Tamandua tetradactyla: one gene and its partners. The protein of the gene in region 2 interacts with the protein of the main gene of each other region in a pairwise test. Links are inferred from orthologs where the notes say so. Each region holds a gene or a part of one and is shown on either strand. Other genes may lie near its edges. The genes, in order: FOSL1, CREB5, FOSL2 and SPRY1.

Region 1 (7,230 bases), on a different chromosome or scaffold from region 2:
GGTAGGGGAGGCAGAGTCCCTGGCTTCCAGCCTGCTGGTGACACCTGTCAGTGCAGCTTTGGTGGTTAGCAGCCTACTTTAGAGTTAGACCTGTCTCATTGCTCACCACTTATGGGATCTTGCCTGAGTGACTCTACCTTTCTGTGCCTTGGTTTCCTCAGCTGTAAAAAGGAGGAGAACCAGCATACAATCCCCAGAGCGTTTTTGTGAGGATCAAATGAGAGGGAAACAGACTCAGAGAGTAGCTGAAGGGGAGCCTCTTGTTCCTGTTCTCTCCCCAGCTTTACAGAGCCGTGGGTGGCATAAGCTCACCCTTCCATGCATGTCGGCAGGTAGAGGCCCTCCGCTGCCCATTCACCTTTCCCCATGCACATCCTCACCTCCACCTCCATTCCTTGCTCCTGCCATTCTGTCTACCTGGAACTTCCTTTCCTTCATCTCTACATGTGCAAATCCTACCCATATTTTTCAGCTGTTATGCCCCTGTTCCAGGAAACTTTCCCCTGCTCCAGCAGTGACCTTGGCATCTGATCACTTTCTGCTTTGAGCAATAGTTGCCAGTGGTCCTGCCTTCCTCCCACCCCACCCCTACCCTTTCAGACAGGCGCTCTTCCTCCCTGCCATAGCACGCCTGTAGGTATCAGGACCAATGCAACGCCACTGTCCCTTACCTGTTCACAGGGCCGGCGCCGGATGCCTGGAGGTGGCCCCAAGGCCCGGATGACACCTGGTCGAGGTTGTGGGGGACTGTACTGGGGGTAGGCCAGGGGCCTGGGGTAGTTGCTGGGCCCCACGAAGTGAGGCTGCACCATCCACTGCAGCTCTTGACTGCCACTCACAGTGTTGAGGCTTGGCACAAGGTGGAACTTCTGGGGGGATAAGAAATGGAGGACCAAGGATTAAGGGACATCTAGTGGATAGGGCCACACTGCCATCCACCCCCAATGTAACTGCTGGTACTGGGAAACCAGAAAGAGATTGACCTGTGGCAAAGCCCTGCTCACGAGCTGTGTGACTTTGGGCAGGTACCCTAACCTCTCTGTGCCTCTGTTTTCCCATCAGAGTTGATACTTATAGAGTGTGACCTGCCGGGTAGTATTCTAACCACCATACAGATACCAACTCATAATTTGCACAACAGCCCTAAGGTGGCAGCTCTAGTATTATCTTCATTTTTAGACAGGGGAGCAGATGTCCACAGACAAACAGCTAGGAAGTGGAAAGTGGAATTAAACCCCAAGGGGCCCAGCTCCAGAGTCTATGCCCTTCCCCACTCCTGCACCCTGCCTGAGTGCCATCTGCCCAAAGAGGATGATCACACTTCCCAGCTCCCAGGTGGCTGTGAAAATCGGGTGAGAGAATTTAGGTGACAGCCTGGAAAGTGGGAGGTGCCCCGTGCACAGGCTTGTGGTAGGCAAGGGCCACTGCTCTGGATTCCACCTGTCCCAGTTCTAATCCTAGCTCAGTTGCTTACTGGGGCAAATCAGTGTGCCTCAGTTTCCTCATTCGTGACACTGTAAAAATGAGGATTAGAGCACTTCAGTGGTGTTACGAATTACCTTTTAATTGCTGAAATATTAGCTTGTTTCACACCCCCACCCCCCTTTAACGTGCATAAAATAATGGTGGGTTTTAAGATCAAGGGCATCTTAGATTCAATGAAATGCGGTAACTGAAGTGGAAAGCACCCAGCATGGAGCCTGCATCTGAGGAATGGGCTGGGTCCATTGTTCTGAGAGAATTGGGTTTGAGCCCTGGGGCTGGGCCCTGGGTGTGGGCACCTAGTCGTCCGGGAAGCGCCCTACAGGCCCAGGCAAGTCCGGACAGTGGTGGCCCCGGTGCAGGCTGCCGTCCCAGCGGCCGGGTGACCCCAGTTCCGGGCCTGAGAGACCGCCGACGGCATCTCCGGCTCCCGAGGTTGTCCGGGCCCGGCAGCTCCGGGCCAGGAAGGGAGGGGCGCCCCGGGTGAGTCAGCCTCCGTGACTCGGCGGCCGTGACTCGGCGCAACGGACGCCCGCTCTTTCCCTCCCCTGGCGACACGTGTTGGCAGCCCCTCGACAGGAAATGGACACCTGCAGCCTCCTGGCTGCCCCCCGCCGGCAGCGGGCGCTGTTCGGTGCCAGGAGTCGGGGACGCGGGAGTTGCCCGCAACGTGGCCCCGCGCACGTCCCGGCACCTCCAGGGCTCCAGTGGCCCGATCGTGGGGTTGAGAACCCGTCCCTGGAAGCCCACCAGGCTCCGCTGCCCGGGCCACCGCTGAGAAGGGGACAGGGGCTTGGCGAGGGGTGGGGAGGGAAGGACAGACAAACGGAGCGACACACAGACAGTGCCAAGGAGTCCCACTCTGTCGGGACCGGTCAGCCCAAGGACCCCGCCTCCCTCGGTGCCCAAGCCCAGACTCCAGATTCCGGAATTTAGCCCGAGATGGAGACACGCTCTGATCCTACTGGGGCTACAACTAACCCAGGCGTCCTGGGTCCCTGGGCAGGAGGAGGGGACCCGGGAAGTGGCTGGGGGGGCACGCGTCCCCCCTGGGCGGTGGAGGAAAAGTGGCCGCTCGACGGCGGAGAACGGGCAGGGTCCTGCCACCCGGCTCCCTACCCCAGTCCCCAGAGCCACTCTCGAGCTCACCCCGGCGTCCCAGGCGCTGTCCACCCGAGCACCAGTGGGCGTCGGACCCCTCTTACCTGCTGGGCGGCCGCCTGCGCCGCGGCGGGGGGCTGCGAGGGGCCGCCGTACGCGCCGCCCGCGCCGGAGCTCGGTCCCGGTTCCCCGAAGTCTCGGAACATGCCCTGGGCTGGCTGCTGTGCGGGGTCCGCGTCGGCGGCTGCGGTTCTGACTCACTCGCTCCCCAGTGGAGTCTTTTTTATGAATGAAAAGTTCTTGGGCTGAACCACTTGGACCGGGGGGCGGGGGGTGCGCGGCGGCGCGGGTCACCTCGGGGCTCCGCCTCTAGCCTTTTGCCAGTCCGCCCCGAGCTTTTCGACACCTCCTACTGTCCGGTAGCTGCCTTTTCTTGGGGAGAGGGGGTGGCTTCGGCGTCTCCCGGCCGGGAGTGCTGCAAGTATCCTCCCCCCCTCTGACGTAGCTGCCCATACATGGTGCAATTTCCTCGCCGCGCCCAGGTGGAGCCGAGGGTTCCCCTCACGGAATTACGCACCTGCCCAGGAGCCGCGCGCCCCGCCCCGCCCTGCCCCGTCCGGCCCCGCCCCGCCGCGGGTGCAGACAGAAAGCCAGCCGCGGCGTTCCCGGCCCCTATCCTCCTAGTTTGGCCGGGTCTCAGTTTTTGCATCTGTAAGATAGGACGATATAATCTCACAGCTACCTTGCCACGCGTGGGAGTTTGGAAAGATGAATGTGAAAGCGGTTTGGAAGCTGTAAAGTGAATTGTAAATGTGATGGGTGATGGTGATGATTTACTGGGTGCTTATTTCAAGCCAGGAACCTTGCTCAGTGCCACCCACAGCTTCCCAGGCGTGGCGTGAGGCCCCTCCACTGGCATGGTTTTAAAGTTTCAGGTATACTAGAAAGTGAATAAAGGACAAACCAGATTACAAAATTGGTGGTACGGATTGCAATGAATAAAATACTACTTTGAAGACCCATAAATACAATACAATAATAATTGTGCTACTCACAGGGTAATTCCAGGAGCTATAACAAGCTTTAGTACAGAGTCCCTACAGGCAGTGGGAGCCTCCAGTGGGACATGGGTGTAGGTGTTTGATGAACGGCGTCTTCTTTAAATGCCATCTGTGTTCCTTGTGGTCACCAGCCTTGTTTGAATGTGTGAATGGGAAGCCAAGAGCCAAATGTCAACAACCAAAGACCAATAACCCTGGGAGGTGGGTGCCATTATCATCCCCATTTCACAGATGGGGAAACTGAGGCTGGGAGATATTGAAATGAATTGCCCACTAAATGAGAACTGGGTTCTCAAACCGGGGCTGTGGGAGCTCTAGGCCAGGCTCAGCCAAGACTGTTCAAAGCCTCACAGCTTCACAGACATCTTTTCACTCACACCAAATGTCAGCACGGGGTGGGGGGGGGACCTGTCTGGAAGCTTCTTCCCTGCCCCCTCCCATTTTATAGATAAGAAACCAAGGCCCAGAGAGGGCAAGGAGCTGCAAGTGGGCTTAACTACAGAAAGAAGATTGGGTTCTCCTGCTTTTCCACTGGTACCGCCATTTGATCAGCTCCAGTTTAGCCCACAGAAAAGAAGGGTCCAGGATTGCCTTCCTTGGGAACAGAAGCCAGAGGGGTCTGTGGACTCAGTCAGGGCTTAGCCAGAAGCCCAGGTTGGCCCCTTCAGGGCCAGAGCTACTGTTTTCTGTCTGTGTGTGACCCTGGGCAGGTCACATTTCCTCTCAGCTCCAGTCCCGGTGGGTAGAATTGGGACTCTCCACTGAGCTCATGGGGCTGCTATGAGGAATAAATGGAATGAAGCTGTAAAGTGCCATCTACTCAGGAGGTCCTTAGCAGCCTACTTACCCCCGCCCTTGTCCTAATCAAGGCTTGTCTTCAATGAAAAACAAAAAGAAACCATAGTAATTGAAGAAGTGCATGCATCAGATGATTCTGGGTCCTGGGTTTGAATTCTGGCCAGGCCGCTCATCAGCTGTGTGACTGTAGCTGAGGCATGCAATCTCTCAGCCTCCATTTCCTCATCTGTAAAATGGAGACAATGATAACTACACCTCAGAGTTGTAGAGGCATAGAAGTACTGTCCCATGCCAAGCACAGCACCTGGCCCCATAGTAAGAACTTAACAAATAGTAGTGGAAATAAATCCACATACTACTCAAAAGCCTCAGAGATGGGAGCACCTTGGGACTCTGGAAACAGGAAGCACTCACACACGTTGATATCTGGCCTCCTTGGCTCAGCTCAAATTGGGAGGGATGACACAGGAAGCCAGGTGGCATCACCTGCAAGGACAGTCTTGACCACATCCACCTGCCTGCCTCAGAAGCAACTACCTGAGCAAGGGCTTGCCCCACTCCTGACATGGGGCAAGCCTCTTAGCCCCTCTGAGTTTGTTTCCCCATCTCTTCCAAGTTATGCATGTGTGTGATTACACGGCTCTGAAAGTCCCTTCCTGCTCTAACCGTCGGCTCAGTCACAAGGAGGCCCTTTCAGAGGCAGCACATTCCAAACTCCTCAGTCACTAACTCCCACCTTGTGGCTGCAGAAGTCTTCTTGGTCCCTGACCTCACCGGCTCCAACTTCAGGAGGCCAGGAGAGAACTCCAGGGGGTCACAATGAGGATTGCTGAGAGCCTCGTGGGGCGCCAGGAGGCCTGAGAGACCATGCACTAGCCCCTTGGCAGCCATGGGACCCTGGCCCAGTCATTTCCCCTCTCTGGGCCCCAGAGAATCCCAGCTTTGGGGGTTGCAGTGAGGTAAAATGGTGTGATACATGAGTGTGCCCAATCAGTGCCACCAGAGCATTGGAGGGGATGCTTATTTTTTCAGTTCCATTACATTTTTGTTTGTTTGTTCTTTTTAAGTTGCAGCTTAACATGCATGCTGGAAAGTGCGCTCCTAAGGGGTTCAGCTCAATGCTTTTTTTTTTTTTAAGCATCACAATTGACCTTTTTTGTGTGTGAAAAATATCAAAATACAGCGCAACAAGTAGTTGTAGAACCAATTTCAGAGTTTGGTATGGGTTACAATTCCAGTTTTAGGTTTTTACTTCTAGCTGCTCTAAGATACTGGAGACCAAAAGAAATATCAGTATAATGATTCAGCACTCATACTCATTTGTTAAACCTTACCTTCTCTGTGTAACTCCACCATCACCTTTGATCTTTCTCCCACCCTTTAGGGGCACTTGGGCTATGCCCATTAGCTCAATGTCTTTTGACATATAGATAAACCTGTGCAACTACCACTCGCATTATGATGTAGGGCACTTCCCTGTGTCCCTTCCCAGGTAGCCACTCTTCTGACTTTTACCATCACAGATAAGATCTGCCAGCTCTTGAACTTCATATAAATGGAGCCATATCTTGTGTATTCTTTGGAGGGGAGTATGTGTCTTTTCATGCATCCCATCTGGGGGGGGTTTGTCCACAGAGCTGAGTGAACCAGTAGCTCTTTTCTGTTGCTGTATTGCATTCTAGTGTGCGCAAAGTATCAAAAGCGGGCAACACTGGGGGTGCTTCCAGTTTGGGGCTAGGATGAATGAGGCTGCTGAGAACACTCTCAATGTGTTCTTTGGTGGCCATTTGCATTCATTTCTCTCGGACATTTGCCCAGGCAGGACTGGAATTGCTGGGTCGTGGAGGTAGGCGTGTGCTTGGCACTTTAGTCGATTCCGCCAAACAGTTCTCCAAAAAGTGGCTTTACTGTTTTACGTCCCACCAGTCGTGGGTAAAGAATTCCGGTTGCTTCATGTCTGGAAGTACCACTCTAATTCCGGTCAACGGGCTGGCCCCATCCTCTCTCTTTCTCCTGGACTTTTTCCCATTCTGCAGCTCAGCACCCTCCTTTAGGTCTCCCACTTTGCAACCTGGAGGATATATGTATTTTTTGTTTATTGACAAATATTCACACACATACGGTCCATATCATCACATAGTTGTGTAGTCATCACCATTATCATTTTTAGAGCATTTGCATCACTTCAGAAGGATATATGTATTTTTGGGGGGGAAGGGTGCATGGTCTGGAAATCGAACCCAGGTCTCCCGTATGAAAGGCGAACATTCTACTACTGAACCACCTGTGCACCCCCGCATATATGCATTTTTAATCATGAAAATGTTTCCAGAGGAATCTTTTAAAGTCTGTCCACATCACTCGCTGTATTGGACCCTTCTGAGCTGTAGCACCTTCAGCAAGGCTACAGGGAGGTGCTGAGGCCTGGGGAGGGGCGGGGTGGCGGATGGGTAATGCACCCTCTTAGGTGATGTGTTGATTGGAGGGGCTGGAGGGCCTCGGGGATGACACTGTTGAGCTCCAATGAACCAGGCATGGTTCAAAGTAATTTATTCAATCCTCGGGGTAACCCTGTGAGGTAGATAGTAAGGTTATACCCATTTTACAGATTAGGAAATGGAGGCACAGAGAAGTTAAGTCACCTGCTAAAAGCCACACAGTGAGATAGTGGTGGAGCCAGGATTTGAACCTACGTACCGGGTCTCCAGAGCCGGGGCTTCTCATAGCCTTGTTAGTGTGTCCCTCAAAAGGGACCAGTATCCCTAACATTGGCATTTCAAGCCCTCCC
Region 2 (7,525 bases):
AAGGACTTGCTGTCTGCAGCCAACAGCCACATAAGTAAGGTTGGTCATGGACTTTCAGAAGATTGCCAACAGCCAGGTGAGTGCATGTGGAAGCCGAGCCTCAACTAGTTGAGGATTGAGATGGCTGTGGTCCTGGTGAACACCGTGATTGCAGCCCTGTGAGAAACGCCAAGCCAGGGTACCCAGCTAAGCCACACCCAGATTCCAGGACAGAAACTCTGAGATAATAAATGTATGTTGTTTGGGGATCATTTGTTACGCAGAGTAGGTAACTGTTTATAGATAAATGCTTATATCCCATACTACATACTTAGCATTTTCTTTTCTTTCTGGAGTATAATAAAAGGAAATTTTAGCTGCCTAAATTATAAGGAGAAAATCTTAGGTAGTATAGCGATGGGGGATATTCAGAACTAGAAATAATCAATCAGGATAAATCCCAAAGTGAATAATAGCTATATATAGTACATTAATCTTAATAGCTACTCATAGTTTTTATAGCATTTTAAAATCTAACTTTTCACATTCGTGGTCATTTACTTCTTATACAAAGGCTATGAAGTAAATGCTATTATTATTTTCATCCTACAGATGAGCAGGCTGAGACTCTACGGATTCCTAGACCCCAGGAATGAAGGCAAGGCCCTTTCTATCTTGTTCATTGCTACTCCCCCACTGCCTAGCTCTGGGCATAGCACTGTCAATGCGTAGGTTGAGTGGATGCTGTCCACAGCAATATTATCTATAAAGATGGTGCCTTTTTCATGAAGTTCTCCAACTGACATATATTCATGCATCAATCGATCAGTCTCTCTCCCTACATCCATGTATGTGAGTGTCTGTGCATGTGTGCATATATACATGCAAATGCGTGTGCTAAACAACACGGGTACTTACTTCTGAAGACTCATTCTAGCTTTAAGGAGTGTAAAGAGGATATTTCCTAATTTAATCCTGTGCATTTCATAGAGCTCTACACTGTCAAAGACAAAAACTTTTGTGAGTTAGCAACCCTTTCTCAGTAAATCAAATCTCTTCCCTCACATACCATTTCCTATCATCTCCAGGGAGAAAGCTGGAGACAACAGACCATCTGAAGAGTCACCAAAGGAGGTCATCGACCAGCTGAGAGCCGCTTGTCCCACACAACGCCTCCCTCCCCTGCTGTACCTCACCTCCCCTGCCCTGATAAACACGGGGAGTACTAAGTAATAGGTATTCTCAAAGGTCATTCTATTAAAAAATCACTGCTCACATTAGCGTCACAACAACAAAGTTGTTGACCAGGAAACAGGTATGTGGGAATTATGATCAGGAAATTTAAACCTTCCTTTTCAGAGTTTCAGTCAAGTGATCATTCAGTCTTCAACCATATCCAGTCTCTCCCCACATATTAACTAACAAAAATGTGTTTGTTCAGAAAAGGAATGTGGAATCATTAAGTAATCAAGGACTCTACACTTTAACATTAAAAGAAAATTGTTGCATATATAATTACTCTTATAATTATATGGTTACAATAAGATTATATTATATATATTTATATATATATATATGTATGTATAAAATAGAGGAACTGAAGCATGCCCTACGCAAAGTAATGAATTAATAATGGTCACTCATTTGTTCAGCAAATATTGAAGCTACGTGGAGACTTATCTGCTGGGAATATGATGATGAACAAAATAAATTCAGATTCTAGTGAGACAGGCTTTGTGCATGCAAGGACTTGAAATTCCAGTGGGTTTGGGCCCAGTGAGCAAAGAGCTTGTGCTGCAAGATGATGCTAGCCTACATGATGTCAAAGGCTGTGCTCTTGACTGTATCTTTTTATTTATTTATTTATTTACATGGGCAGGCACTGGGAATTGAACCCGGCTCTCTAGCATGGCAGGCGAGTACTCTGTCTGCTGAGCCACCATGGCCCACCCACTTGACTGTGTCTTATATCAGCAGTCCAGACCCCTCACTGGAACTCCAGACTCAGCATCCAGTTGTCTACTAGACATGTCCTCATCTGTGTGAGGCCCAAAACTGAACTCCTAGTCTTTCCCACCTAAGCTGTCCCACCCTCAAGCTTCCCATCTCAGTTAATGACCACTCCATCCTTGCAGTGTCCCAGTTCAAAAACATTGGCATCTTCCCTGACATCCAATCTGTCAGCAAGTCCTGCCAGCTTTACCTTTGAAATACAGCTAAAGTCCAGTGTATCACATGACCTCTCCTACAATTATCCATTCCAAGTTATGACTATCTCTTGACTACTAATTGGTCTCCACCCACCACCTTTACAGTATAAAGGGTGATCTTAATATGTAATGTATTCTATATTCAAAACCCTCCAATGGATTCCCAAATCAATGAGGTTATGAAAGGTCACAGGACAATCTACAAGCCCCTATCTCCCACTATTTCCACATCTGCCTTCTTGAAATTCCTCAACCTACCAGGACATCTGTACTAGCAACTCCTTTTCCTAGAAAACTCTTTCTCCACATATCTGCAGGAACTAGTTCTTTACTTCAGCAGGTCTCTACTCAAAAGTTACTTCATCAGAGAAGCCATCCCTCACTACCCCATTTGAAGTGTACCTCCTCCATCTGAAATATGGAAGTTTGTCTTCCTTTTTAGCACTTACCACTATATGATGCATTATATATTTACATATTTGTGTATTACTTCCTCCCATAAGAGTAGAGCTGTTGTCTGTTTGGTCCATTGCCATTTCACAAGAATCTGCAATCTGGTCTACACCCCCAGAAAAGCCATGTTCTTTAATCCTCATTCAGTATTGCTGGGTAGAATCTTTTTTATTGTTTCCATGGAGATGTGACCCACTCAACTGAGGGTGGTAACTTTTGCTTAGGTGTTTCCCATGGAGATGTGTCTCCACCCATTCAAGGTGAGGATACTTTCTGGAGCCCTTTAAAGGGGAACCATTTTAGAAAGAGCCTACAGAGCCCACACAGCCAGAGAACTTTGGGGATGCAGATAGAAAACATCCCTGGGGAAGCCTTATGATATGAGAAAAGAAAGCTAGCAGATGTCGCCATGTGCCTTTCCAGCTGACAGAGGTGCTCTGGACCCCTTCACCTTTCTTAAATCAAGTTTATCATTCCCTGGATGCCTTAGTTTGGACATTTTCACAGCCTTAGAACCGCAAGCTTATAACTTAATAAATTCCCTTTTTAAAAAGCCATTCCATTTCTGGTATATTGCATTCTGGCAGCTTTTGCAAACTAAAACACTTGCAAACTCTTTCTCCAGACATCTGTAGGAATTAGTCCCTCACTTCAGCAGGTCTCTACTCAAAAGTCACCTCATCAGAGAAGTCATCCCTCACTACCCCATCTGAAGTGTCCTCCTCCATCTGAAATATGGAAGGGCACACTCTAAATACTTACTCTGTTTATTTCCCTTTTTAGCCCATACCACTATATAATGCATTACATATTTACATATTTGTTTATTACCTTGTCAAATTAAAATTTAAGTCCCATAAGAGTAGAGACGTTGTCTGTTAGGTCCACTGCCATATTGTAAGAACCTGAAAGAGTAGAACATTCTGCTTAACGAGTGATAGCATTTCTCACCCTCTTTTGTAATCATTTGACTCTGTTTCTCTGACATAGTATCTGGCACACAGAAGACACACAAAAACTGTCGAATGAATAAATAAATAAATAAAAGTGGGCTTTGATTTAGAAATGGAAAGCCTTCTTATTTATAAAGGGAATGTCTAGATAGTGTTTCCTGATGGGGGAAAAAAGCAAAGCGATTTAGATGCAAAACAGGAATATTGTTAGAGCTCAGCTTGGAAAGGGAAGGGAAGTTTTCTTCCCTGAAACAGAAAGAAAGGAAGAGGTCAGAGGAGAAAATGATGCATTTTATGATGGGGTGAAGGAAAACCAACGGAGCTCATATGGTGGCAAAAGGGTGGAGCCAGAGGCTGGAAAAGGATGGAAACAGTGCTATTGGCTCCTGAGGGCACAGTAATAGTCATTGCATGCCCAGAATGTCCCAGCCAAACAAAACACAATCTCTTAAAACCCAGACTTTCTCATTTCCAAGACTTAAAGGGAGAAAAGGATAGTGGTCAACAGCGCTTGAGCAAGTTATTTGACCTCTCTGAGACTCAGTTCCCTCATCTGTAAAATAGGGATAATGACACCTGATGGGTAAAGTTATTAGGGGATTTAATTAGATGATGCATGTAAAATGCTAAGCACAATACCTGGCAAGCTGCTTGCTATGACTACCACTATGGCCAATTCCATGCCCAAACCTACCACTTCTCCTAATAACCAAGCCCCCAACCAGCATCACTTCTACAGGTTATATCCTACCACCACCACTACCACCACTTACAACCACTATCAATCCAACCTCAACTATTACTACTACCACAACTTACCAGTTCTATGACTTTGGGAAAGTCAAAAATGCTTTAAGATGTGTCCTCATCAGAAAATAGGTAGAAAAGTCTATGATTATAATGATAAGAAACGATTTCCCTACCAGGTTGCTTTAAGGTTCAAAGTGAAGCATAAAAAATACTTTATAAATTATACAAAAGGCTTTATAAATGTTGTTTTTTGCTGTTGTTGTTTTGGGCTTAGACTTAAATAGAGCACTTTACATAAGCTCTAGGAACAGCCAGGCAGGTGTCACCAGATGACAAAATTGAATGCCAAAGAGGTTAAGTGACTTACTCAGAGTCACGAGGTGATGGCACTAAGAATCAGAATTTGAGCCCTACTCCCAGGCTCCTTCAGATGATAAATCAAAAATACATCGGGCAGTGTGATGGTGGCTCAGCAGGCAGAATTCTTGCCTGCCATGCCTGAGACCCTGGTTCGATTCCCGGTGCCTGTCCATGCAAAATAATAATAATTAAAAAAAAATACATCCAGTACCCTTTTCCCCTCCATTCTACTGCACCGGGGTCTTCCTGCAAATCCACCTCTAACACTGAATAGAAGAGAATTCTGTGCACCAAACAGGTATTTCAAAGTTGCAGAGACAGTGTCTAATGCTTGCTATTCTAGAGCCTCTTGAGAATCTTTACAAAAGGTCTATAGTTTTTGAATCCACCACAAAACCTGGAATCAAGATCAGCCTTCTTCCAGGATATAGCAGGTAAGCCTCTCACATACAAATAAGGGATCTGTGAAAGGTGCTTTCCCTCTCCAGCTAAGGAGAGCAAAGAGTCACTTTTAATGATGTGTGCTATTGGGCTACAAAATGACCATCTCCAGAGTCCTTTCATAATAAAATTATAAAACCCCAGAGAAGAAATACCTTGAATGTCTAATATCATATTAACATCTCAGCTCTGAAGAAGTAAGATGAGAGAGAAGTTCCATAAGAAGAGCGGGAAGGGAATAGGGTTTGGAGTAGACACTCAGTCTCTGAAGAAAGACAGCAGGTCCCTGAGTGCACGGTCCAGGCATTTCTGGGGAATGGAATGTGCTAAAAGGAAGAGGGCCAGAGATAAAAGAAATGAAAGACGCGCAAGGGCAGCCTAGACAAATCTGAGGCTGTCACAATTTTGCCTAAGCCTATCCCTAAAGGAAGGCTTTTTTATTCAACCAGCGTCAGGAGAAGGAGAGGTTTTTCAGGGTACATATTTTTCTTGCCAAAAGATTGGTCAAGTGTTTTTTAGATCATAAAAAAAACCCCACAGTGAACTTAAATGACAAGCAATAGGGAATGGTTAAGAAAATGATGGTATATCGACTAAATGGAATATTATAAAAAACCATAATTTTGAAGATTGAGCAGTCATGTGAAAAATGTCTGTGGTATGGTTTTGAGTGAAAGAAGCAGAATTTCATACATATCTATGCTCTGATTAAAACTGCTTAAAAATTATGATAACCTCTGGACAAGGTTATGGAAGAGAATGTAAAAACTAAAAATCACTGATATGTGAGAGCCATGAGATTCTCTCTGATTTATCCCCAGCCACCTCGACCTCCATTTTTGGATTTCTAAAATATCATTACAATGGCCTTTAAAGGATAGAATTTAAATTGAGGCAATGCTCAGGGGGAAGGAAACATTCATCAATACCCAAAAATCTCCTTAGGCTGGTCCTCCCAGGAACCCTGACCAGGTTCTAATGCTGGTAATAGGAAAGTCAGGACAAAGTACAATGCATGGGTATCCTCTTAACCAATTCACTCAGGATTAATTAGCCGTTCACTATATATAAAGGACTATATGAAAGTTTCTATGGAGGAAATTAAAACTGAGCAATATTAAGTTTCTTGCTGTTACAGAACTTACAACCAAGGGAGGGAATTTGTGACAAACACACAAAAAAACCACAATAGTAGGTAAAATTCAAAGAAAGGAATCATAAGAAAAAATATTAACAAAACACTGCGAAATCAATTAATTTTGCCTTCAGTTTTTGGTTTAAGAGATCAGGAAACTTTATGAAGAGATGATGCTTGTGATGGGTTTTGGAGAGTAATGTTTCCACAGGCAGGTGTGTGTGGGGGTGTAGGCCATCAGGGTGTGTGTGAGTGTGTGTGTGTGTGTGTGTGATTGGGTGGGTGTGCTAGAGGAGAGTAGGAGGCATTCCAGGCAAGAGGAGAGTCTGAACATGGCAGAGAGGCACTCAACACAAACAAGAATTCATTGCAAACCTGGCTTAAATGCAGGAATACTGGCTCGGGTAAGTCTAGGGGCCTTAAGACGGGACACCAGAGAAGGCTCTTGCTCAGGGTAATGAGATGTTCAGAGCCACAGAGTGGAAAGATTCATAATGTACCCAAAATGAAAAAAAGTCTGAGCAGACACTAGATAAAACTGGTGACAAACTCAAACTCCCACATTTACCGTTTTCATTACACTGGGCAAACCACTTAACCTCTGCGCCTCATTTTACACATGTTTGAAAGGGGGAGATTCCAGTCTCTTAATAGATTTGTAAGGACTGATATGGTAGAATAAAAGAGTAAGCTCAATAAAGACTTGAATAATTCTCTTCCCCTTAATCTTCACTTCAGAGATGGAATTACTTTAGGAGACAGGGCGGAAAGACAAACATCCGAGATCCCAGGTGACATGGAGTCTAGTACACTTGGTAATGACATGGCTGCCAAGGGAAAAGGCAGCCAGTGATTGTCATGAAGGGGGAAGCCTGGGGCCAGAAGATGATGGCGATCCCAGCTGAAATGGGCACATCTGGAGAACTGGTCTGAGGGTTAGTTCACCTTTGAACAATGTGAAAATTAAGGAATAGTAGCAGTCTATCTAGGAGGAAATATCCAGGGTAAAGTTGGAAATAGAAATAATAGATGAGGAGAGAGGTGTGGACTAGAGACACAGAAGATGTGTGATTTTTAGAAGTTGTCCCTTCCTATTACTGAGCTCTGTCGTGCTCCATCGACCTCTCACCACTGCTCATCTTGATGGATTCATCTCAAGTTCAAAATATCCTATATGGCTCAAATTTCAATTGAATTTAGCACCCTGTATTTTCCTCCAAGATATGCATTTTTAAGCAGCTTTA
Region 3 (7,275 bases), on a different chromosome or scaffold from region 2:
GGGCTTTATGAACATGTGGCACTCAGAAGTGTGCCCAGTGCAGCCGCGAGCCGGACGCACACCACACTGGGAGTTGTGTCATCTCCTGGTGTTACTCTTGGGGACCAAACTTTGGGCTGGATGGACACATGAAGAAACTGGCAAAAGTGTGGCCGGCTGGTCCTGGAGACCCAGCGAGGCGGCAAGAAGATGGTCCAAACCACATGTGGCCCCCCATTCCTCTCCTTCCCTTCCCTCGCTTGACATCACCCCCTTCTTGAACTGAGCGATGGTACCGGACTGTTTATTTAAGAGGGGCACCTCGAGCCCTGAACCAGATGAAGTCCATGCTTTCAGGAGACCCATAAAACAGAAACGAAAAGACCCCAGCAGGCGGCAGAGGATTCATTCCATGTCCTGGGTGAGAGGAGGATGGCCTGGGCCCGAGAGGCCCAGCTGGGCTTCCGACTGGGTCACTAACCTGCTACAACCAGTTTCCCTGCACAAGCTGCTTAATGTCCCTTTCTCCCTCTGCAACTGGGAAATGATGCCCACCTCCCATGGCTGGGTGAGCACTACATCAGACAATCCCTCTACAACAGACAATCCCTCTACAACATTCCACGTGCTGTCTGCCTCTTGGTGAATGCACAATAAATGTCGGGCTCTATCTTCCTTGTTATTCCAGGCGGCGGGGGGGGGGGGGGGACCTCCACGAGGGCCTCTTTCTGACCGGGCGATCCTGCAATGGTTCCCGTCGGAGGGCGCAGAAAGCAGGGCTTGCAGACGAAATGCTCCGATTGGCATAGACAGTCCGGCTGAGGAACCCACTGGTTCGCGCGGTCAGTCCTGCCACAGGGGCAGGACGCAGCTCTGCGCGTCGGAGGACCGCAGCGGGAGGATAGCAGACCTCCCGGCGGGCGGTGGGAGCCAGCGCAGGCTGTGGAGCAGGGGAAGGCGGGATCAAAGCGCTCTGAGGCAGGCCGGGGGTGCACCAAGGAGATGGCTGCCTACTTGCATCAGCACAGATTCCATGATGCTCTGCAGACGTCTCGGGGCTGCTGGGCTTTACGGGAACCCACAAGAAAGGAAAGGGCCGAGGGTGCGGGCAAGGCGGGGGCGGGCGAGGGCGCGAGGATGCGCTCGCCCGCCTGCACCCAGCGGCGCCTACCGAGGCATGGGCGCGCCCGGGACCGCGGAGGCCACGGTGGACGCTCCCGCTCCCCTTCCCCCCTCCTTTTCCCCACCCGGCGTTACTGGAAGGATCGTGTGGGAGAGACCCAGAGGCACCCGGATTTTCGAGCGCGGGGTGGGGGAGGGCCGGGCTGCCGCTGCCGCTCAAACTAAAACCAAAAGTGCGTCTGTTCCCGCCGCTCCGACACGCGGCTGCGCGGGGGAGGGCCCCGGGCGCACCCGCCGCTCCTCCCCTCGCAGCCCCCCAAGCTCTCGCTAGGGTGCCTGGAGGCCCTCGTGGCCTGCCTTCCCCGCGCCTGGGGGCATTGGGCACGGGGAGGGGGCGGAGAGACGAGGGGAAAACGTATCACGATTTCTTCTTTTGCACTCATCCCCACCCCCACTCTGAGTTTTCTGCGCTTTGCTGCTGCCGCTGAGGACAGAGCTGATCCGTCTTGCGTCAAAGGCCTGCATTTACTCAGTCCTGCTGGGAAAGGCGCGTAAACACCCAGGCAGGCCAGAACGCAGGGATTTAAAAAACAACAAAACAAAAGAAACACCCAGCACCCACGCGTTCACCCGCCCCACCCACACCCGGGCCCGCCGAGCTGGGGACCCCGGGTGGAGCGCGGCGGCCGAGGTGCGAGGAGTCTTTGGACGGCCTCGCCTCGCTGCGCGCGTCCTTGGGGATGGAGCTCAGGACAGAATGTGTTTTATAATTGTAAACAATGACCCCGAGTATTGTTCGGGATTACCGTATCTTGGGGCCATTAAGGCGACCAGATGCCGCCAGCCGTCCCGGAAACGCCTGCGCTTTATATAGAGCCCCGGGAAAGCTTCGAATTCCCGCCTCTATTTTTCTTTCTTAGCAACACCTCCACTTTACAGATCAAGAAACTGAGGGCGGAACTGTGGTGGGTCAGAGCGCAGAGCGTTTAACAGTCTGTTAAGGTCCTCTCAAGGACCCTGTGGCGTGCACAAGGCGCCACTTAGTCGGGTAAACCGAGGCTAAGGCAGAGGCTGGATCAGGACCCACGTCCCTTCACTCCTAGAACCGTGCTTCTGCGCTCACACGCCATCATCTCTGCAGAGGACTGAGGAAGCTCCAGCGCTGACAGGGGCCTTAGAAAGTCACCTGGCCCAACGTATTCGATTTACAGTGGGAAACTGAGACCCAGAGAGGTTCGGGGACTCGTCCAAGGTCTCACAGCACGTAAATAGCAGAGTCAGACGTTCAGACTCCAAAGCCGGGGCTCTTACGCTGCGCCTCCCCCCGCCCCGCCCAGCAAGGCGGGAAGACCCAGGAGTCCCGACTACCCGCGCCCCAAACTTCGCTCCAAACAGCTGAAGACTGTGTGGGGACACACCCTCTCGCCGGCCTCCCTCCTCCTCTGCTTTTTTTAATTAACAACCTGCAGTTTGCCCAGTTCCTCCTATTAGATGCGTTCTAATTGTCCGGTATGGAGGGCGGTCGGAATGTCTTGACAGGTTAATTTCGGCTTCAAGGCTACTCCTAACAAATTAACCCGAGCGCTGGGGGACAAAAAAAAAAGGAAAAAAAGAAAAAAAGCAGCAGTGGGCAGCCCGCCACCAAGGGCAGAGAGCTGGCAGCCCGACCCCGGCGGCCCGCGGCGCCGCGCCCCAAGGCCTGGCCGCAGGGCGGCGCGGGTAGCCTGGGTCGCCTGCCCGCCCAGGGCGCCGGGACACCGGGCGGCGCCGCGGAGGGCGCGGGCCACCGCGCACGGCCGCGCCCTCCCTGCCAGCGGCTGTGCGCGCCCGGCTCCCGGCCTCGCGGTGGCGCCTCCCGAAACCCGCCCGCTCGCTCCTCAGGGCCGTGATTCAGTTTTCAGGCGCAGCGCGGCGGCCCCGAGCCCCGGCCCGGGCGGAGGGGGGAGCCGGAGCGGCGCGCTCGGGAGCGGGCGAGGGAATCCCTCTCCCTCCACGTCACCCGAGAGCGAGGAAACCCGCACTCACGTCCTCTAACGCAAATGACCATCTTTGGCAACGTGCGCCAATGGAAGAGACCAAGGGCTCTGGGCCTGGGGGTGGGGAGGGGATGAGGACAGGGTGGGGAGAGGACCCGGGTGCCTCGGCTTCCCCGGACCGCGCCGCGGACTCGCGGCCGAGGCGCCGCCACCTTCTTCCTCTCTTGCTCCGGGGCAGGCAGCTGGCGTCCGAGCGGCCCGCCGTCTCCCGCTTCCCTTCCTCCTCCGCGTCCTCCTCCCTCCCCCTCCCCCTCCCCCTCCCGCCTTTCCGGGCGCGCTCCTCCCTGCAAGGTGGAGTCGGGTTGACGTGAGTGAATCCACATGGTACGGGGGCTGGATAATAAAGAGTGTGGAGTTGAACTCGTGCCACTGTAGTGACTCATCTCGGGCAGAGCGCAGGGGCTCCGAGCGAGCGGCGCTCGGCGGGGAGAGCGAGGGAGAGGCGCCGGCGGGCAGAGGCAGGGCCCGCGAGGCGACGGGCGAGGCGCGGGCGCCGGGAAGCAGTGCGGGTGTCTCCGGGAGCTGGTGCTGGAGCCGGGCCCGCGTCTCTCGCCGCCCGCGGGCTGGGCTTGAAGTTCACGGGCGTGCGTGGCCGCCGGCGCGCCAGGGGCCCGGGACGCGCGCGGGCTGCTTTGCTCCTGCTGGCCAAGTGTCCGGCAGCCCCGAAAGGCAGGCGGCGGGTCTAGCCACAGGAAGTTTATGGTCGGGCCCCTTTTCGAAAAGGAGGAAATAGAAGTTTCTCCACCAAGGGCAGCCTTTCTTTTCTCTCGCTCTCTTTCTTTTATTTTTATTTTTAGTTTTTGATCGCTCTACAATCTGGGGCTCCCACACTCGGCAGGCAGGGCTCGAGGAGCTCCCATCCTTTTTTAATTCCCACTTTTCGATTTGGACGTCGGTCCCGGCGGGGGCGGGAGGGCGCGAGCAGGGGAGGGACCGACGGACGCGCAGACTGGTTAGAGGGAGGAACCGGGTGGACGGCTGGTCCCGTGGCGCTTCGAGGGCCGCAGAGAAGTTGGGCGAGAGGCGCTCGGGGGGTCCTGCCTCGCAGAGGTCGCTGCCTCGCCCTCCGCGCCCGCGCCCGCGCCGGGTGCCCCGGGGGAGAAGCGTGAGCGCCCAGGCCAGACCCCGGGGCGCGGCCGGCGAGCCAGGGAGCGCGCAGCAGCCAGTGCGCGGCCGCGACGAGGGCGGGGGAAGACAAACACCCTGTTTCCTCTCGGGCTCCCACCGCGGATCATGTTCCAGGATTATCCCGGGAACTTTGACACCTCGTCCCGGGGCAGCAGCGGCTCTCCTGCGCACGCCGAGTCGTACTCCAGCGGCGGCGGCCAGCAGGTAGGTGCCGGCCTCTGGTGCACCTGGCGGCGCGGGCGGACCCCCCGCCCTCCTCTCGCCGCCTCTGCCTCTTTCTCTTTCTTTTCCTTTTCTTGTCTTTGCGAAGAAATACCTGCGGCCCGCCGTTCCAAGTTCGGGATTCTCATCCTACCTAGTTCTCCCACTTTTATTATTATTATTTTTTTAAATCGGAGCGGGGAGAGGGCTTGAAAACCCCATTTTTATCCATCGCATCCAGCTTAGCTCCTATTCTGCGATTGCAGGTTCCCTTCCCAGGAGCCTGTTACTCCCGTCCCGGGGAACATCCACCCCCACCCCTACTCCCCCGCCGCCACCCCCACCCCCCCACCTCCCCGCCTCCACTCCCCCGCGCTCCCCGTGGTGGACAGACAAGGAAATCGGGAAATCTATGCCCCTCCAGTAAGCGAGGGGCCCGTCCTATGGGAAAGCCCTCTCCCCACTCCCCGCTTTCTCCAGCAGCCTTATTTCTAAAAAGGTGGGGTTTTTTCAAGTAATCCAGGACGGGGGTGAGGGTGGCAGCCCTGGGAACCAGGTGCGAAGGTCAGGCAGGAGGAGGCCAGCCCTGAGTGACTCGGTGTCTGCTTGCGGGTCCCTGAGTCCATCCCCTATATGGCCCCCCTCCGGAAGGGATGCCTTGAGAATCTGGGGGTTCTCTGGGCAAGAGGCCCAGAGAGAAGTGAAGGAAAGAGACCTCGCTTAGGCTCCCGGATAGTCCTGGGAGAAGAAAACAACTTGTTTCTAAAGCAGCCGGACTGGTTTGCGCTGGAGGGATTGTGTGTGCCCTCTGCGTGTCTATAAATACCAGAAAGTGCTGCTGGGGTGGCGGCGGCGGTGGTGGCGGCGGTGGGGTGCCTACTGGGTGGGGTTGGCAGCCAGTCTTCAAGCCCCAGGACAACCTGAAGCCCACCTTGAGCAGGATCTATGATAGCCTTAGGCAAGTTGGGTAGAGGAGGAGCGACTCCAGGAGGGCCGTGGACTTGACCTCTTGGAGCCAGCCAGGAGGGGTGGGGTCGTCCCATGGAGAGGTGCAGCCGGTTGGGGGATAAAGTGGAAATATGGCTCTTGTTGAGACCTGAACCAGGCTACCTGCCGTACCTGGAGAGTCCCCAGAACGGCTCTTCCTTTTCTTCCCTCTACCTCCTCTGCTGCCCCCATAAGCATCCACATAGAGAGCCCAGTTTGGAGTCTGCACATTTGACAGTGCAGCCGGGGGCACCGTTAATAAGGGACCGAGGGTTTGAATAGGAAATCTTATCTGAAAAGTGATTCATTGTATCTGCTTTCCAGCCATGTTGGTGTTTTTGTTTTCGTTTTTAAAACTGAATGTAAACGTCACTAGGCAGTGACTTGAAGTCATTTGTACCCCTTCCCTCTGACCCCCGGAACGCCCCTCTCCTCTTCCCCTCACCAGAGGGATCTTTTGATTTCTTCCCTGTTGCTTTAGCTGCGTTCCCAGGACAGTGAACATTTAAATGTTCCATTCCCGCCACCTGGCTGCAGAGCCTGGGGCCTGTGTGGGAAGCCAAGTCTGGACACCAGTGCCCCAACTGAGTAATCTGTGTCACTGGGGCTTGGAGCCCAGGATGTGAGTGGAGGCAATTCCCTGATTTGGAAGAAAATCAGACAGGAAACCAGTGCTAGGAAGAAGGAAAAGAGCTCACTCCGGCACAGTGTAATGGGGCCTCATTACTGAAGCAAAAAACAGCTGTTGGCCAATTCCTAGCATGCTGTAACACATGAGGATTTTGCAATTAGTAATAACCAGCGCACGGGGTTCTCGCCTGTACGCCTGCCCCTTCCACCAGGCAGCCAGCGAGGCTGCCTCCAGAGCAGAGGGACTGGCAAAGTGCTGCCACTTTAGACAAGTTTGTCTGCCCGCCTGATCCTGGGGGTGGAGGGTTTTTCCATCGCCTCTCCAAGTTTGAGCAAAGCTGACCTGAGACGCGTTTGTTATTTCACAAGTCTGTGCTGTGACTCCACCCAATCTCAGGCTCAAGGTAACTTTATTACATACCAGATAAAACCTGTAATCACTTTATGTGCCTCTGCTTCCTCAACCCGGAGACTGTCATGGCAGAGAGTGGCTGAGCTTTCCTCCTCTATGGCTTCTCAGAAGACTCATCCATGTAAGACCCTGGTTTTTTCTTGGGGAAGGGAACATTCTATTTTCCGGGGGGAGGGGAACAATATTTCTGGTGAGTTTTATTGTTGTTTATTCAACCCAGAGCTTTCCTTTCCTCTCCTCTCCAGCTTCATAAAGTTCGATCGTAACATACTGTCCGTGAGTTCCAGTGACGTTTGGAGGGGCTAGATAACTCATCTCAAAAGCGTCTGCTCTTGAATATGGCTGGAACTCGAAGCATGAAAAATATTTCCTGTTCCAGTTATAGTTTTAATCTCAAAGTTTGATCGTTGGTGATTTTGTTTTGGCCGTGATAGGTGCAGACATCTCCCCCTCCTGGATTGATTTATTTTTTTTCTTTCTCTTGATGTTGTTGTCTTCTCTCTCCTAGCTTTCCTAGGAAAACACGTCCTAGATACACGCACCGCCTGCTCACTTGGCTATTACGGTCTCAGGCTCTGGGCGTTACGCAATCCAGCCAGTTACACAAACATAGGTCATTTCATAACTTGTTTTCATCAGCTGGGCCCCCTTTTTGTAAAAAAGCAAACCAGAAACAAAACGCAGAATTTTTCCAAGGCCTCCCATTTGTCTCTTCCTCAGATAACTTGTGAAAATAAATCAAGGAGGATATTTCCCTTATTGAATCAAGGAGTACGAGAC
Region 4 (7,653 bases), on a different chromosome or scaffold from region 2:
GTCGACAGATACTGATTTATTACTATATCTGCCATATTGATAAAGAATCAAAATTAGTGTTCTGAGTCTCAAAAGGAAGCAACAGGAAATAATCATTCTGAAATACATGTATAAGGAAGCATCATCTATTTTTTTCTTTTTCTACTTATTTTCAACTTCTGCAATGTTTTCAGTTACTGTTTTTATTTTAAACTTTTGCTGATCACAGAGTTTACAAATTTTATAGGGAGAGTTTTCAATATTTGCAATGACCATGAGCTTAACCGGAAATAAAATGTCAACACTTATAAATTCCAGATAAATAAATGTTCAGGCGATCAAATCTCATTAAACTCCTTAATCTGAAACTATTAGCAGATAGCAGCTCTAAAACCCTACTACCTATTTGCAGTTAAACATATACACAGCTATACATTTATTTAAACCTAAGTGTTCAGCCATAGAAAAATAAAAGTAAAACTGAATTAACTCGAAGCAATTATGAAGCAAATAAATTCATTATTCAGGGATGAAACGCTTGGAAAGAGGGATTTTAAACATTTCTTGTGTTTGAGACGATGTGAACCAACAACAATTTATACAGAGCTTTAAAGCTTACAAAGCGCTACATATATTGAGTCCTAAAGTGGCACTGAGATTTGGGAAGGTGAACTATTATTATTCACCTCAGGTTATTGAGAACGCAAGCTAGAGAAATTAAGTGAACGAAACCATCTAGTTAGAAAGTAGCGAAGCTGAGGTTTAAACCTCATAGCACCACACCTTACGTCTGCTACTCTTTACCCAACACCACGCTGTTTCTCTATTTATAATATTGGCATGGGACATATGGCTAAATACAGTGAAAGTTATAAGCCAGGATACAGAAGGGTGATACAGTTAAAACCCAGATTGTCAATACATATATCCCACCAATTATTACAGACCATTCGAAAATGTTTATAAAAGAAATTGTTAAAAATGCCCTAAGGGAATTGCAAATCAAAGGAATTTCTAAGTATAAATACTTAAAAAAAAAGTATGTTATCAAGTTTTGTATATTTTCTTTTTTAAGGGACATGCATATAGCTATTCCATTAAATGAACATTTTATAATTTTTTCATAAATAAAGGATAAACTGTAGCTGTGGTCATGGGTTATTTCAATAGGAAATAAAAATTAAACTGGGTAAGCCCCAGGTGATATTTTAAGTGTTTTGGTTTAATGAAAATATTATATTTTCCCTACAATTCATTTTTGGGAATAACTGTAAATTTAAAATAACCTCGGTTTTTGTACACTTGTTTCTAAAGGCGAAGATAACAGTAGATAGATATGGAAATTTGAGGTTAATAATTCTTTTGCTGACCAGAATCAAAGATGATACTAGGTTATCATTATAAGTTATTCCACTGCTTGTTTCAAAAAATCATCAGCAGAAGAGATGGGGAATCTTGTTTTCACATGAAAATGAAGGACAAGTTTAGGCTCAGAGGAGAACATTTAACATCACTGAAGAGGAAAGAGGACAGGATTTATTTTACAATTGGCTAGATAAGAAATGAGGGCTGTTTCTTGCTAGGGCAAAGATGTTTCCTTATACAACCTTACCCTGTGGATTTAACTAGTAAAACCTTTGATACATAGTGTCATGTAGTTCGTCTGAAGTCTTAGATCATTTTGATTTCCAGTGAAGGAATAGGATGCTTAGAGTATGGCGGGCTCCATTTACAGCTCTTCCATATACACTTCTTTCTTTTCTTACAACTTGCAGAAAAACAGAATCAGTGCTGACAAAGCCCACAAATGATTGGTCATAAAATTATGGCGATGACAGAAACTTGATAAATCATTCATTGTGATTTACTCAATTTATTGAGAAACTGAGGCTCAGAGAAGTGATTTGCCCTGTTCTAGAATTTGAAACCAATATAGAACATTAATATATCAAAGAGGGCAGAAGGATGAGGTTTAAGCTTATGAAAATGAAGAGAATGTTTATGGAAAATTTACAGAATAGGTTGGTCTATTTCTGTCAACTACAAAGATTGTTTACAAAAGGAAACTGAAAATAAAATGGTCTATCCTTGCCAGTTTTCCTTGGGAAGTATAGTAATGTAGAGACTATTGCCCTAAAAGGCAAGAGAAGAGACTTTGTTTCCACCCCTGATTCTTTACTGACTTATTAAATAGTCACAGGCTAACTCATCAACTTCTGTGATTTTTGTGTATTTATTTCTCAACAAGATAAAATACTATTGTACATTTCTTATCACGACAATGGAAACATCGGGAACATTGATAAAATATTATTTTTCAAGAGCTTGGAACACATTATGGTTCTGCTCTTTTGGCAAATAACGGAGATAAATGAGTAAGATCAGCCTCCCGCTACTTCACTCAAAACAAAAAACCACTAGCAGTTGCAAAGAGTTGCATTTTTTTTCATTTCCTTCCCCCCCCCCCCCCAAATCCAATCATCAGAAGAAAAGGCTAGTTTTATTCTTACATGAAAATAAAGGACAAGCTAGGGGTCACTTTTCATTTCACTTTATTCTTCTGGACATACCTTAATATAGTAAACTAAAAATTATTTTATAAGATTGTCCCATTGAAATTAAATTTTTTTTTCTTTCTCAGAAAAATTTCATATCCCAGCTATCCATTTCTAACCGGAGTACGCTATAATTAAACTTACTAAGTTAAGAAGAATGCCTATTTTAACTTGAAAACTAAGAATTTCTAACAAGGCTTACAATTGTAAGCAGTTAAAAGGAGGGACAAAACATCTTCTATATCCAAGGTGGCAAGGCTATCCTTATATTTATTTGCAATGCATTATTTATAGAAAAACATACTGGTGTGTTTTAGTACTAAATCCTGTAAAGGGTCATTGGTTAACTTTTGTGTAACAGAATATTTGATTTTCTAAATAGAATATGTCTCATTATCTGTGATGATGTTACAGATAAAATCTCATGAATTGTATTTATTATTGCATTTTTAAAACACCCAATCTTATAAAAATCATAATTTAATACCTCTTTGAATAGTTTGAAGTTTATTTGTAATTGAAATCTTCCAAATCTATTTTTGGGATTTATGGAAGTAGAGTGTCCCGGCTTTATCATAGTGGTGAACTGACCTCTCTTCCCCAAATTGTGATGACAGCTGAGAAGACAATTTTGAAGAACGAAACAAGATGCCCTAATGCGATATTCTATTTCTTATTTGACTGTTGATCAATTCCAGATCTATTTATAAAAACTATTTGACTATTGAGAAAAACCGATCCATTTTTGGTAAAAGTTTATCACATCCCAGAATATAGTAAGATCCATGGGGGAAAAAAGACAATATAAATAACATCAATTTTACACTTTTAAACAGCTTCTTTTAATACTATTTATAATATTAAGGAGGAATACGCAGCTCCTTGGTTTAAAAAAAAATACACAGTTTTTATTGTGTATTTTCTCCTGCAGCTTTTCTCCTGCTGCTGATGCTCTTAGGGTACTCTAGGTTCCTGAAGGGCAACTGTAGACACAACCTTAAATTTAAGTGCTCAAAGCTTTGAAAGCCCAGTCGGTCTAAGGAAAAATGGTTTTGACAGAATCACTTCCTATTGTTAAGAATGAGATTTTTTAACTGCTTTGAACTGAAAATGTTGTACTCACCCTTAACTTTATATATTAATTTTAGATTCTGAAGTTTTATTTTTGTTTCCTTTGTTTTGTCAACGATTTCAAGTTACTCCTGATATGCTGGAAAAACATATTTCCTTCCCAGTAAATACCTACTTTTGGTTTTAGGCATCTTTTTAAGGTCTCTTTGGAATCTTAAATTTCACATATATTTATCCTCACTGCAAAGTGAGTATAAATGATACTCACTTTGATAAAGATGCCTAAAATTCCATAAGTTGTAAGCAAGCAAAAAGCAAAAGTTCCTATATGCATGATTACAACTTTACTTAAAATGTATTTTGTAATATTTTATTACAAATAATGTATTATTAAGAATTATAAAAATTACTGATAAATAGTTGTTTTAACTAACTGCCTTTCAGCTGATTAAAAAAAATTAGGGGGTGATTTTTTTAATAATTATACAAATATATTACAAAATTGAAGGAATTTTGGATTTATTTCATTCGACTGATATATGGGAAATTGCATCACAAACCAAGATAGTGTAATATTTAAAAATCTGCAGCTTAAATTTCACACTTATGACCTATTGTTATATTACATTTTCAGCAAAGGGTGTCTTCTTTTGAACTTTCAGATTTCATATCTCCTGAACCTTTGTTTTAAATAGAAACTTAACGTTATGATAGCATCTTTTCACTAACAACTAGATATTTTCCCTCCCAATGATCAGAAATGGTGGGTTAACATTCTTTTTTTTTTTTTTTTAACTTTCCTGAATGCTTCAAAATTCTTTTCTAATTCAACCTTACTGAGATTGATAACGAAAGAGAAGCGCATTCGGCGGTACTGTGATAAAAGGCACTGACAGAATGTTTGCTACACAAGCACACAGGGCAAAGCGTCCAAGCTCGTGCACAAACCCAAAAGGAAACGACTGTCGGGGAAATCCTGTTCCAGGTTTTCCGGCAGCCCCTGTGATTGACACATGATATCACTGGGGGCGTGTCGTCGAGCGGAGGTGGAGGTAGGAGGCGAAGGCTGAAATTCTGTGGAGCCGGAGGGGATCGCTCGGGACAGCACGCAGGGGTTTGCAGAGAGATAGTGGGGGCCGAGCTCCCTGCCTGCATAACGACCAGACACAGTCGCTGTAAATGTGCCTGAAAAGCAGTTTCCAGCCTTTGCACTAGGTAAGAACTGTTTCCTTCCTTTTCGTCCGTAGACATTTTAGGAACGATTACTTGAGAACTCAGGTTTGCATGTGCAAGGAACTGAAGTTTCTTTGAACTCGCTTTACTTCTAAACTTACTGGTCGTATTTCACAACTTCAGGAGCATTTCCACTGCTAATGCTGATCTCTTAAAGTCAATGCTACCGCTAAAAGAAATCGCGGGGTCCCGCTCCCTTCGCTAAAAGAAATCGCGGGGTCCCGCTCCCTTTTCTTCCTTATCCGAAGAGCAACAAGTTGAAAAGTCTCGCAGCGACGCATGTGTGAGGGACAGCGCGGATTGTGGCGAAGAGGGACCCGCAGTCTGTGCAGACCAAGTGCGTGCTCGTTCAGGCACTGCCGGCCACCGGGGCCCGAACGAGGCAATGGTTTTAAAACCTGACTTTCCCGATTCTGGGTATTGATTTCCAAGGCGCAGAAGCGTTGCTTGAACGTTGTTTGGACTTGTAGGCGTTCCGAGGGCAAAAGCACTTCGGCAAAAACGTGCCAGACTGCATGTTGCCCCGGCTGGCGGCTGACGCGAGACCGTGCACCGGCCTGCCAGTCACCGGGAGCCGCGACCGCAGCGCGGGGCAGGGGGCGGCGGGCGGCGCGCGAGTGGCCGGTCCCGCTCGGCCCTCAGCCGGGGCGCGGACAGCTGCGTGTCCAGGTGGCGCGAAGAAAGGGACGCTAACGCGCTTCTACCTCTTCCTCGTCTGCAGCAGGCGCTCCGGACGTGGAACCTGAGGGTCGCAGGCCTGAAGCGCGCGCCGCCGCGCGAGGCTGACCCGCTGGCACCGGAGTTCCCGGGACGCTGCGCGCCCACGGCTCGGCGCGGGGCAGGGAGCGCGGCTTGGCCCGCGCGCGGACCGGAGACGACGCCCCGCCGCCTCGGGCCGACAAGGACCCGCACTCCTCGCCCCCGCCGCCCCCCGCCCCTGCGCGGCCCCTGACCCGCCCGCCGACGCCGGCTCGAGCTCCGGCCCGGGCGTCTCGGAGTCTCGAACTCCCGCGACGCGGACTTTCTCTCGTCCGGAGGCCGCCGGCCCTTCCTTCCTCGCGAGGAGAGGCCGCAGCCCGGGAAGCACGTCGGTCCGAGCCCTCCGTGGCCTCCGCCGCCCGGCCCGCCCTCGCCGTCCTCCGCGCGCTGCCCCGAGGGACCCGGAGCCCCCCCCGCGCGGGGCTGCCCTCGCCACTGTTCTGGCTGTCGGAAGGGGCTGCCGGGGAAACGCTCCCGAGGTGGATGTCACTGAGCCTCGGCGCGAACGCGGGCGGCGCAGAGCCGCGGGGGAGTGTGCGCGGCGGCCGGAAGGAGGCGGCGGGGAGCACTCGGGGCCGGCCCGGCGCCGCGAGGCCGCCACAGCCTCTCCGCCGCGGCTGACGCGGCTCGTGCACGCCGCCGCCCGCCCCGCGCCCCGGGGCCCGGCTTCCCGCCCGCACTCCGGCCGAGGTGAGTGGTCCGCGCCGTCCGCGGTCCGGGGCGGCGGGAGGCGCGCGGGCGGGTGTGCGTGCCGCGGCAGGTGCGGGCCCCCGGGCGGGGCGGGGCGGACCTCCGGGAGGGGGCGGGGCGGGGAGGCGCCAGGCAGGCCCCTCCCGCCAACCCCGCGCCCGCGGGCGGGGGCTCCGGGGCGCGTGAGCCGGTGGCAGCGACTGGTGAGCCTCACGGGGGACCCACCACCCGGAAAATGGGTTCTAGGAGGTTTGGGGGGTTCCCTGGAGGGCTGTAGGGAGGCTTTTGCCGTGTGTGTAGGTGCGCGTGCGTGTAGGTGCGTATGTGTGTAGGTGCGTGTGTGTAGGTGTGCGTGCGTGTAGGTGTGCGTGTGTGTAGGTGCGTGTGTGTAGGTGTGCGCGTATGAAGGTGGGTGTGCGTGTGGTGTGCGCGGCGCGCGCGGGGACCTCCGCCGCCTCCGTCCGGCCTCCCCTTGTCCGGCGGGGCGCCGCGGCTGTAAAAGCGCGAGGTCCGCCTCCCGCCGGAGGGCGAGGGGACGGCTCTCGGTAACGGGCTCCCCCGCCCCGCCGTTGGCCCTGGCGCCCCGCGCTCTCGGCCCGGGTTGCGGAGCGCGCAGCCCCGCCGTGGCCACTCGCGGCTCGGCCCCTCGCGCCCGCCCCCGGTCGTCCCCGCGCGGCGTGTGGCTGCGTCTGGCCTTCCTCCGGGGGCTCCGGGCGCCTGCGCTGCCCCCCCGCCGCTCACCCGGAAGGCTCCGCCCGAGCGCCGGGATTGAGGCTGGGGCGCGCGGGCAGCCGAGGTGGGCACCCTCGGAGGCCCGTGGGCTGTGACGGGCGGTCCGGAGAGGTAGCTGCTTGGCCGGTGTGTCTTTGGAGAGAGTTTGCCGAGAGCGTGGGCGCGTGGTTGGGAGGAGATCGCGGACTGTCACTGCGGGAAAATGGGCTTTTCTTTGGATCCGAGTGCCTGCCTTCCTCTGCTTTTAATGGTTACCTGGTTATTTTACTCACCGGCCCGCACCAGTTTTGCTGCGACCGTTCTGTAAAACCCAAGTTAAAGTTGTCCCTGGTCGTCTCCTTACACTATTCACGTTCCCTACGGTTTTTCCTAAGGTGTGGAGGCTCAGTGCTTGCAGAGGCCCTTTGCTTTCAAAAAGCCCTGGGTTAAAAAAGTTCTTTGCGAGGTGGAATGACAGTGTGTAGGAGTAACCGCTAAATATTTTTGAGTGTCTCAGTAGGCTGTAAGTGTCTCGGCACACTAGTCTCTCCTAGTGTGCCGAGAAGGTAGAATAAAGCAGACACTCGGAAGACCTGGGTTGTGAAAGTGGGGAAAGTATGGGGGCAGTTGGTTTAGTTACAGACTTCCTTCGGTT

Evidence for each region.
Region 1: the proteins of CREB5 (region 2) and FOSL1 interact in binary tests that used the Homo sapiens proteins (3 or more experiments, as listed by UniProt). The two-hybrid records come from large-scale screens. The link is inferred for Tamandua tetradactyla from reciprocal best matches to the Homo sapiens genes CREB5 and FOSL1.
Region 3: the proteins of CREB5 (region 2) and FOSL2 interact in binary tests that used the Homo sapiens proteins (3 or more experiments, as listed by UniProt). The two-hybrid records come from large-scale screens. The link is inferred for Tamandua tetradactyla from reciprocal best matches to the Homo sapiens genes CREB5 and FOSL2.
Region 4: the proteins of CREB5 (region 2) and SPRY1 interact in binary tests that used the Homo sapiens proteins (3 or more experiments, as listed by UniProt). The two-hybrid records come from large-scale screens. The link is inferred for Tamandua tetradactyla from reciprocal best matches to the Homo sapiens genes CREB5 and SPRY1.

Annotation. Positions count from the first base shown.
Region 1 is NC_135335.1:8,626,181-8,633,410, reverse strand, and holds the start of FOSL1 (fos-related antigen 1), read right to left. Parts: upstream 3,021-7,230; 5' UTR 2,790-3,020; coding exon 2,688-2,789; intron 870-2,687; coding exon 672-869; intron 1-671.
Region 2 is NC_135327.1:94,598,377-94,605,901, forward strand, and holds the start of CREB5 (cyclic AMP-responsive element-binding protein 5), read right to left. Parts: upstream 3,015-7,525; 5' UTR 2,786-3,014; coding exon 2,639-2,785; intron 1-2,638. UniProt on the Homo sapiens protein: Binds to the cAMP response element and activates transcription.
Region 3 is NC_135329.1:12,553,032-12,560,306, forward strand, and holds the start of FOSL2 (fos-related antigen 2), read left to right. Parts: upstream 1-4,267; 5' UTR 4,268-4,370; coding exon 4,371-4,469; intron 4,470-4,824; exon of another isoform or gene 4,825-6,616; intron 6,617-7,275.
Region 4 is NC_135348.1:45,256,615-45,264,267, reverse strand, and holds the start of SPRY1 (protein sprouty homolog 1), read left to right. Parts: upstream 1-4,639; 5' UTR 4,640-4,820; intron 4,821-5,559; exon of another isoform or gene 5,560-5,666; intron 5,667-6,237; exon of another isoform or gene 6,238-6,287; intron 6,288-6,418; exon of another isoform or gene 6,419-6,490; intron 6,491-7,653. UniProt on the Homo sapiens protein: Inhibits fibroblast growth factor (FGF)-induced retinal lens fiber differentiation, probably by inhibiting FGF-mediated phosphorylation of ERK1/2. Inhibits TGFB-induced epithelial-to-mesenchymal transition in lens epithelial cells.